Drosophila melanogaster: one gene and its partner. The gene in region 2 interacts genetically with the main gene of each other region. Each region holds a gene or a part of one and is shown on either strand. Other genes may lie near its edges.

Region 1 (4,907 bases), on a different chromosome or scaffold from region 2:
ATTGTCAACGGTATAATCGACAGATGAGAATGAGATTTGAGATCGCAATTGATTGCCGGAAGTACCATTAAAGGCGCTGCCCGCTGTCTCCTGATCGATGTCCAGATAGTTGTGTGGCACGTAGCCCTCCTCGCCGCGATAGTTGCGGGCCCTTAGCCACCCATCGCCGTCGCCTTCGCCAACCACCTCGAGCTGTTCATTTTCGACGATGGTGAGCTCGTCGGGATTCTGGGCCTGTGGAAAAAGTGAAAAATTAGTGGCAAGAAAAAGTATATAGTTCTTTAAAGCTCACATACCGTATAGCTGTAGAGTGCAGTGCACTTGAAGATCGCCTCCTTGGGTTCTGGAACAATCGGTTCGTCCTTGTCGTCCTCCTCCTCGCCAGCTCCCCAGTTGACCTCAGTGGGATCATCCCAGCCACCAGCGCTACTGGCCATCATGGATGACGAGGCAGCAGCTGCAGAAGAAGCTGCCGCTGCCGATGGACGCACTTCGGGCTCATCCTCACTATCGCTGAAGGTACGATCCCTGGATAGCTGTTGCTCCTGCTTGGGCTTCGTTTGGGCAGCTGCCTGAGTCTCCTCCTTGTCGCTGTCGTAGAATGAATCGGAACTGGGATTCTCGCCCTGGCCAGAGGCGTCGGTGCGCATCGAAATGGAACTGGCCGAACGCGTCAGCTCCTGTACACCCATATTCTCGGCCTCCTGCACCCACTCGTCCACGTTAATGCCGCCATCGCGCAGGCACTGCAGACATGCCTCCGCTTTTGTCTTTTCCGTCTCGGATCGACGGATTTGATCACGGAACTCCTCGATCTTGGTGTCCAGATCCGGTCCATTTGGATCGTTGGGATCCGTGCGCTGGCCAGAGTCTCGCAGCGACTGGCACAAGGCCAACTTCTTGGCATTCTCCCTGATCGAGGCATTCTCCTTGACCACTCTTCCGGCCAGATTCTTGGCCTCCTTGGTTAGCGTCTCGGCGGCGGACTCATGCTCCGCGGTCACCTTGCGCACCGGATCATTGTCGCACGCCTCGAAGTCATATTGGATGTGCTGCTTCAGCACCGGATAGAATAGGTAGCAGCACTGCAGGTTGTACTCCCGCGTCAACTGCTGCGCCTGGTCACGGATCTTTCCGAAGCTATTCTGCGTAGCCGAGCAAGTCAACAGCTCTGTGCGTCTGGAAAAGATGTGTTTTAATGGTTAGGCAACATTAAGATAAAGATTTCTTAAGACAGCACTGTTATGTACATATGTACATATTGAGTCATAAGATTAAATAAAATGATTTAATAACTTTATGAGCCATATCAGGTAGCGCCATAAAAATTATCAGAATGTAATTGACGACTTGAGCAAACATTGATTAGAAAATGGCTTTGAACTTGTAAAATTTATAATTGATTTACCGATTTTGCACTTCTGGATGGTTTATAATTTATGAGCAATGCCATTATACACTTACCCCATTAACATCAGGTACTCGGCAACCCGCTCGAAAACATAGTTCTCCATGGTGGTCATCGTTGTCTGCAGATCGACGGTGAAGTAGCGATTCTGATGCGCATTGGCCGCCGCCAAGCTGAGTACGTAGTCATTCCGGGCGCCAGATGACTTCTCCTCCAGCAGCTCCTTGCGAGATGTGACCCGGGCGCTGTTCTTCTGCAGCGAAGTGATTGATTGAAAGAAGGAGCCCTTCTTCTTCTTAAGCTTCTCCTCGATATCGCGGGCCTTGTCCCGAACATCGTGAGCACAATGCTCTTCGTCAAAGTATGATTTCTTGGTCTTATCCACATCGCCCACGCTCAGATGGAGTTCCTTCTGCACATTGACAATTCCGGCTAGCGAACGCTTAGCTATGGCCAACTTATAGTCCCGCAGAACCTTGGCCTCATCCGCGATTTGCTGTTGAAACACCTCTATGGCGGCCAATCGAGCACGAGCCAGTTTCTCATTCTCCTCGAGCACAGTGCGCCAAACGCTCCACATGTTCCTATGAGATTACGTATAAGTAGGTGGGTAATTCAAATTGACTGAAGGTTCTCGAAAGAACGTTACTAGTTAGCTGGAAAGCAATACCCACCAGCGTTCCTCCATGCCCTCCATCTTAATATCTGGTATATTGGGTATCTTCTTGTTGAGATACTGCGATGAGATCTTCAGCAGCGACTCACTGTATGACTTCTCGACAGCGGAACGCTTGATGGTGAACTGCCGGATGTCCTCCAGGAGGTCGCATTCATGCTGATTCTTCAGCTGCAGCTTGGCCACCTGCTCCGTGTGCAAATTCTTGAGGAATTTCACATAGTTTCCCTGCAGGATTACGAGGTATACGATGAATGATTATTGTGGAACTATCTTTATCAATTCGATTTATTTATGATTTACCTTACGCGGCGGCGGCTGCATCATGGGGCTTTTTCTACGACAATCGGGTCACTCTACAATTGGCTTTTTTTTTCTATTTTAGCTCCGACTTAATGGTGTTACATTACCTCTAGCAACTGTAAATAGTATGATTGCTTTATGAGAGGATATGATATACGGGTATTAAAATACGATACGATATTTAAGATCCCATCTTATTTTTTTAATATAAAAAAATTTATATTTCAGTGGCTTAAAAGGGGAGATTTATTTTTAACGCCATGACTTATATCAAAGAATCTAACATTATCAAATTAAAGATTAGATAAAATGTAGCCCTACTGATATTTATTATATATATATATTTTCCGATTATTTTTGGCTGTGTAAATGGGTGGTGTTGGTGGTACATGTGGGTGGTTGTGTGGTCCTTAAGCCGTTAATAGGTTCGCTACGCAGCAACGGGTCTCAAAACTTATGTAACTGAAATGCAATGATAACTGACATCGAAACGCAAAGGAAATCAAGGGTTTTCTTCAAGCTCAAATCTAGTACTATTTTTAGCTGGAAATTTTCACTCGGGCAGCCCACGCAGCAGCCCCCCTTTTTTTGGGGGTATCGTATCGATTTCTCTGGCCCCGGACTAGCTTATTTTTTTTAAGCATTTACACCAACTACGTTATTCAAAACACTTGGCTAACACTTTTTTTGGACATGGCCGGTTAAGATGGTTGTTTTTCAGCTGGATTAGTACTTTTTGGGATTCTTATCGCTGGGTTTTCACTGAAATTTGTGGTCTTTTTCTGGGCAGCTAAAATCCGTTGCTTACTTATCGATTTCGATTTTCACGACGTTTGTGTGAGAACTTTTCAACATGCACCGTTAACTGCTGGTGCTGCTGCGCAAGAAGAGACCGCCAAAGAGAGCGGTGAGAGAAAGTCGAGAGAGAACGAAGTCGTGTTTCATTCATGGCCTCTAGTACCGTTAACAAAGAGGGTGAGTTTTATTGTTTTTGCCCCGTCAGCTGTTTGATAACACCTCACTTGCGTGTAACGGCACTTAAGGAAAATGAAGAAAAAAAAACTACTATAAAAATTCAACCTTTGAATGGTATGCCATTTGATCTTGACACCTGGCGTACGACAACAGCTAAAACAAAAATGTGCGTTTGCGTGAAACTACTCATATGCTGTGGCTATCAAAAACGGTTTAATTGATAACTTCAGATATTGGCCAAGAGGTTTGATAAGATTTTCGAGTCGCGCCCAGAAGTATGCATGCAATAATATAAATGCATTACGTTATCTTGAGAAAGTAGACATAAGCTTATAAATATGGCATATTGGGAACTTGATGTTTTTTTTCAAAAATTTTTAAAAATTAAATTTTAACAGGATTAGAAGATTATTTGTTTGTTATGTTTTTTTTACTTTATACATTTTTACATTCTTACATTTTACATACACATCCTCAATAATTTTTCATCACTACTCACGACAACCTATCGATAAGTTTCTATCGCTAATAGGACCAGCTGCTGACAACAAATAGGTTTCGACCTGGTATTTTAATTTAGGAATTTGTACTTTGTTGTTTTCATGTTTTCAACTTGAAAATGGCCACGAAGCTAAATGTAAATATTCGCACCCTGCTGGCCAACTGCGAGGAACTGGCCAAAAGCGAACAGAACTTCTGGAGGCTGCAGAAGTTCATTAAGTCCCTGGACACAATGCTTGCCGAGCTGGAGGCGATGGGCGATCCGCAGAGTGTCAAACGTATCCCGGGCTACTTGGAGCGCCTACAGGCCCTTAAAATATCCACCGGATATGCAGACGTTCCCGGTTCCACAACAAAGACTCCTTCACAATCCTCAGCCGTCAGCGAAACTGGGGAAAATGCACTGAAAGAAATAAGGCAGCTGCAAAACAGCAAATATCACAACGAACTGCGAAAGGAACTGCTCCAGGGTAATAAAGAATTAACAAACAGTTTTGTACATATTTTAAAATTTCTTAAATTCAAAAATGTAATAGTTCATAACTTAAAAAACATTTATTTTAGATTCCGATGCCCTGCGAAGACGTCGAGGAGCAGATGAATCCTCCTCCAGTTCTGGAAGCGCAAACGTTCAGGAAACTTCTGGTGAAAACATGAACCAGGCTGCCAAGTATTATACGAATGCCCAGGAGAAGATCACCGAGCACATGCTCTCGCTGACTCGGAACTTAAAGGAACAGACGGAGACCGCCAACAGGATTATCCGAAGAGACACGGAGGTTGTGTCGCGTTCCGCCGGAATGGCGGATCGCAATATCAATTCGCTAGGAAAAGAGGCTGAGAAACTGGAGCAACATTCGAAAAAAGCCTACAAGTGCTGGCTGTGGCTGATGATTGCCTTCGTAATTGCCACTTTTATAGGTGAGTCATTGTATTTTGTGGAAGTTTTGTTCAAGCTGCAAAAAAGAACCCCTCTTGGAAAATCCCAATTCATTTACTTAACAAATATACCTTAAGTTATCCAACTCAACAACACACATTTAA
Region 2 (4,928 bases):
AATAGAAGCTAAAGCAAATAGCGCTTACGTAAAGGGACCAAAAAAAAGGGGGAATCCCCCACACGGCATGACAGCAGCGCGCAAAAACGTCAGTTAGCTGCAAAAAAGAACAAGGTTTAAAGAAGAACTGGGTGGCCGGTGGGTAGTGTGGAAGTGGTGGCATGGGTGGCATGGATGGCATGGGTGGCATGGGCGGCAAATCAACGCTGGCAAAAAACACTTTGTGCGCGCGTCAAAGTGTTAAAGAAAGTAAGCATCCAACCAGCCGCCCACACACCACCCACACACGACAGAGAGCTGGCCGGGAATGATGGAAGATGGGGTTTTTTTTCCGGAGCTTTGTGTACATATTTGATGCGCTTTTTTTCCTCCCACCCGGCTCGACAAATTTAAGTTTTCGGGCTTCCTTTTCGGTGCGGCGGCACTTGCTTTGTGGATGCCCCCATGCATGCTGGAGTACTCGCAATTCCGGACTCCGAAAAAACTTCGGATTGCAACTGAAGGAGAGAGCCGGAAAAAAAAAATAAAAAAACGAAGAATCCGAAGGCTTATCTTTCAGCCAAACACTCGAGCGTTTTTGGGGCTTAACGATGTTTGGACGGCCTTTGTCCATTTGCTATTTCCATATTGACTTGTCCCGTGCAGGTCCCTTCTACTTCAGTCCTTTGAGCCCCTTTTTTGAAGCTGCACTGAGAAAAACTTTCAAGGAGTCATGCAATATTAATCTATAGAAGAACTGTTTCAGCCCACGAAATTTGTAAGTTCCTCTTACAGACTTCATATCTTAACTTTACATATGATTCCCAACAGAACAGTTCATATAGAGTGGATCTATCGATTTACCATTAGATTTTAAATAATGTACAAGTTATACAAGATTTAATTGATGAGAACTGAACATTTTTCTGAGTGTATAATTTTTGAGCCTGGGTCAATGCTTTGTGCATTTTGAAATATGCCGGCAATTACCGGGCAACTTTGCCATATTACAACTGCTGAATTATTAGTGAGCTGCTTTTTTCAGCTCATTAGCGTCGCATCTAGTGGAAAAGTGTTTGGTGGGGCCGCAGAGTTGTAGTAGTCGTAGGAGTAGAAGTAGATGAAGAAGGGGGTACTAAATTATGCGCAGTGCAATCAAGTTGAGTGCGTACTACAGTCTAAATAAGTAGTAGTTGTTTATTCATAAAAGCATTGCGCCGAGAAATTGTCAGCCTTTGGGCTTTGACAACACGAAAAAGAGCTTAAAGGAAAACGCAAAGCGGCAAAGGAAGGGGCTAAAAGGCTGGGCGAGGGGCGGGGAGCGGGAAGCTCAAAAGTGCAGTTGAAACCACATAAACAAACGCATACAGTGGGCACTCGAACAGGCAACATGCCTGAAATGCAGTTCAGTTACTCATATTTTATCTATGGGATTTTAAGCTTTTAAATTCAGTGAATCATTGAAATAAGGAACTATACTATTAAGTAAATATTCTATCTGAATAGTAATTTTTGATGTACATATTGAAATTTTGCTAAATTAACTATTTAAAATGAATATTGACCAATAAATATAAATATCAAATATTGATTTGAGACTAAACACTCTCAATTTATAATTCAATCACTTGGGAATCACGCAACTACGTTGGTTCACATTAGCGAGCGATACCTGTAGTACAAAAGCCTTTGAGGAAAGTAGAGGAACGATATCAGCGAACCCCCATTCCCATTACAAACTGTCTATCCCTGCGGTTTTTTGAACTCAAAGCCCTCGCCACTCGTCAAATTAATCGAACTGCCATCAAATGCTTGTCAGTTCCCAGCTCCTTTGGCAAAACCGTTGCCCTTTGTTCGAAATGAAAGCACAGAACTTACCATTTTTGTACTGCCAACTGTTTGAGATGCCAAAGCAAATCAGTAGAAAGCCGATCAGCATTTGTCGCCAGCCCACTCCGCTGTTAGATTTCGTGCATTTCGTCGCTTTCGTTGTCACATCTTCATTATTATCTATAACTTGGCACAATTGAGGTTCGATTTCAGCAGACTTTGTGTATGGCTCGAGAGCCATCTTATTTTGGAAGCACTATCTCCGGAATTTTAAGACATTTGGCGCAAAAACAACAGATGACGCGACCCGATCGTGTTTGTCTTTTGTTAGGCGCACATGGTAATCACACGGAAAAACTGCAAGTGGAAGGGAGAGGGAGGTTTGAAAACAGGTCGCTCTCGAAAATCTTTCACTCCCTAGGGTATCAAATAACACCCTTGTTTTGAACTCTCGTTTGTAGTTACAACAGTATTTGCAGAGTTATGCCTGTTAGTAAATAGGTTTTAGGATTTTTGTTTTACTTTCTACGTATCTTTTTTAATAGATTAATATTGGTTCAACTGTTATGACTACAATACAATTCAAATTTATTTCAGTTTTGATCACTAGTGAGTTAATAACTTTTAGTTCCTCGTGCTCGCACTTTTGTTGCGTAGTGTAAGCTAGCTGTTGCTTATGTTGTTGTTATTTCAGTCTTTCAATTGAGTTTCCCGCTTCTTTGTTGACGAGTGTGATCGTCTTGTTTGCATGTGTGCGAGCCACCAATTGTTGTTGTCGTTAAGTAGCGAGTGATAAGCAATTGTGCAACTGTGTGAGGGCCACCACACCGCCATCACCCCCTCCGATCAACTGGTCGCCAAATTGAAATACTGTAAGTGATAAGGTGACTCTGGGTAATTAGGGAACCTCTTTTGCCGCCGCTTCTACGGCGCAACAAGCCGGCAATCGACGAATTGCGGTGCGTGCGCGTGTGTGTGCAACCCCCAGAAAGGCGCAGCGCTGCACTTTCCAGTGGAAAATTTCACGACGCAACCAAAACAAACGCCGTTTGCCGCTGGAAAATGCAGCAGCAACAGAGAGCAAGTGAGAAGAAAACACACAAACACACGCGCACACATGCACAGACGCACACACACACTGGGGGAAAACAGAACGTCTTTCAAGCAGGCCGTAAATTTAGATGCCCGAAAATCTCTTGTTTTGTTTTTAGAACCATTTGATACACATTCCAACAACAACATCAGCAACATCTCGCATGCTGCACAACAAACACGAAAAGCACGACAAATTCCACAGTATCTATGGTTTATGCCCGTTGAAAGTGTATTAATCGTCGCCGTTTCATCGCTATTTGTTGTTAAACCAACGCAATTCGACCGAGCGCAGCCATTTTGTGGTTACTTTGTTTTGTAAATATTTGATTTACTTTTCACTGAGTTTTCCGTCCGCCGTGTTGCCGTGTTTTTCGTCTCGCTCTTTCGAACAGTGTGACCGCACTGAGGCGACGTACGCAGCCGTCAGTATGGCTGCACCTAATTTGCCTAAATATTACCAATTGAGTGTTCTAAATATACCAAAAATATACTGGAAGTAGAGTAGACGTTTGGTTGCACACCTTGCTAAAAAAATTTAGAACACCATTTTGTTTGAATTATTTTCGAATAGAATTACATAATTTTACCAAATGGCGAAAAATGCACATTGCAAATATATTCAAATGCAATTTTTACAAAACCCTTTTTCAGTGGTTATAAGAAACACATAATAATACATACATACACATACAATACATATACTGAATATTATATTCTTGTATAGTTATAATTAATTATAATAGTTTTCAATTTTCAGAAATTACAATATTTGTTTGATATATGTTCTATTCTTTTATAGCAAAACTTAATTAATTTTTGCAAAATGTTATTAAATGTTATTTCAGTTGTTAAACTTGTGGAAAACTTTAAGTTTACTACTTGCACATCTAAACTGTATTTTTTGTAACGCCAACATTAATATAAAATTTCTTAAATTACATCTAGAGCAGAGCATTTACAAATGCTAGGTATGATTATCCATGAACTGCAGTTCCGACCACAGGAGCAGGGCGTTCGGGGGCAAAGGTCGCGGCTGCGGCGAAAGCAACATCACTGCCTGTCTTTCCATATCCACTTCGGTTCTGAGGATAATCAAATAACAATCATATATAACTAGTATAATATCTAGTTTAGGTTCAGCAGCACTTACACGCAACAAAAGCCGGCCACATTGGTGCCAATCACATCGTCCTCCACGGACTCGGCAAAGCTGAGGGCCAGCACATGATGGATTAGGGCGGGCGTGGGTGTAACCGCCACCACCTTGGTCTTGTTGTCCTCCGCCTTCATTCCAATTGGCATGCAGGAGTCGGGCAGCGGCGGTGCGCCGATCTTGTAGAGTCGCAGGTCCTGGAACTTCACCTCGAAGCTGAACGGATAGAAGGGCGCCCTTGTATTGCCGTAGAAGTACTCCTTGATGCGCTGATCCCTCGCCTCGTGTCGCAGTTCCTTGCTGCGCTCGACGACGCCGCCGCTCTTGGGCAGCAGTACCACATGAACTCCCTTGGGAACATCTCGAAGCAGCTCGTTGTATAGTCGCTCCTGGTCCAGAACAAAGATGGCACAGGCTCCATAGGCTTTGGCCGCGTGCAACAGGTGCGCGTAGCCGGATCCCTTTACCCAGCCACAAGTGTTTATAATAATGCCAGAGCTTTTTGCTGCAAAAAGCAGATGCAGAAATTTGCAGTTTATGAACGGGAAAATGTATTGAAAAGTGCAAAGATATGTGTTACACCTTCCCAACTTACTTCGCTTGTTGCTATTCAGAGATTGCAGTGTTACCTCTGCCATTTTGGAAACCACGGCATTGTACAGCACGCTGTTTCCGCTGGGAGACTTATGGCCAAAGTGATAGACCAGCGGCGCTGTCTTGGCGAATCCCTCCTCAACGTTCGCCGGTCGCTCGATGAGAATGGTGGCCACACTCCCGGAAATGGCAATCGAGCCCTGTCCAACATCCAGGTCGGCGTACAGCGGTCGACGACCCACGCGCACAGCATAGTTAAGCAGGATGCGGCACAGAG

Evidence for each region.
Region 1: of arr (region 2) and nwk, changing one suppresses a phenotype caused by changing the other (phenotypic suppression), as found in Drosophila melanogaster (one study listed by BioGRID).

What each region holds. Positions count from the first base shown.
Region 1 is NT_037436.4:9,136,178-9,141,084, reverse strand, and holds the start of nwk (nervous wreck), read right to left. Parts: upstream 3,226-4,907; 5' UTR 3,196-3,225; exon of another isoform or gene 3,121-3,195; intron 2,504-3,120; 5' UTR 2,409-2,503; coding exon 2,388-2,408; intron 2,313-2,387; coding exon 2,083-2,312; intron 1,993-2,082; coding exon 1,465-1,992; intron 1,180-1,464; coding exon 297-1,179; intron 235-296; coding exon 1-234. Other genes in the region: Use1 (unconventional SNARE in the ER 1), read left to right, coding at 3,982-4,333, 4,428-4,784. UniProt on the Drosophila melanogaster protein: Adapter protein that provides a link between vesicular membrane traffic and the actin assembly machinery. Acts together with Cdc42 to stimulate actin nucleation mediated by WASp and the ARP2/3 complex.
Region 2 is NT_033778.4:13,479,919-13,484,846, forward strand, and holds the start of arr (arrow), read right to left. Parts: upstream 3,312-4,928; 5' UTR 3,237-3,311; intron 2,167-3,236; 5' UTR 2,051-2,166; coding exon 1,858-2,050; intron 1-1,857. Other genes in the region: cbc (crowded by cid), read right to left, coding at 3,869-3,986, 4,055-4,562, 4,653-4,928.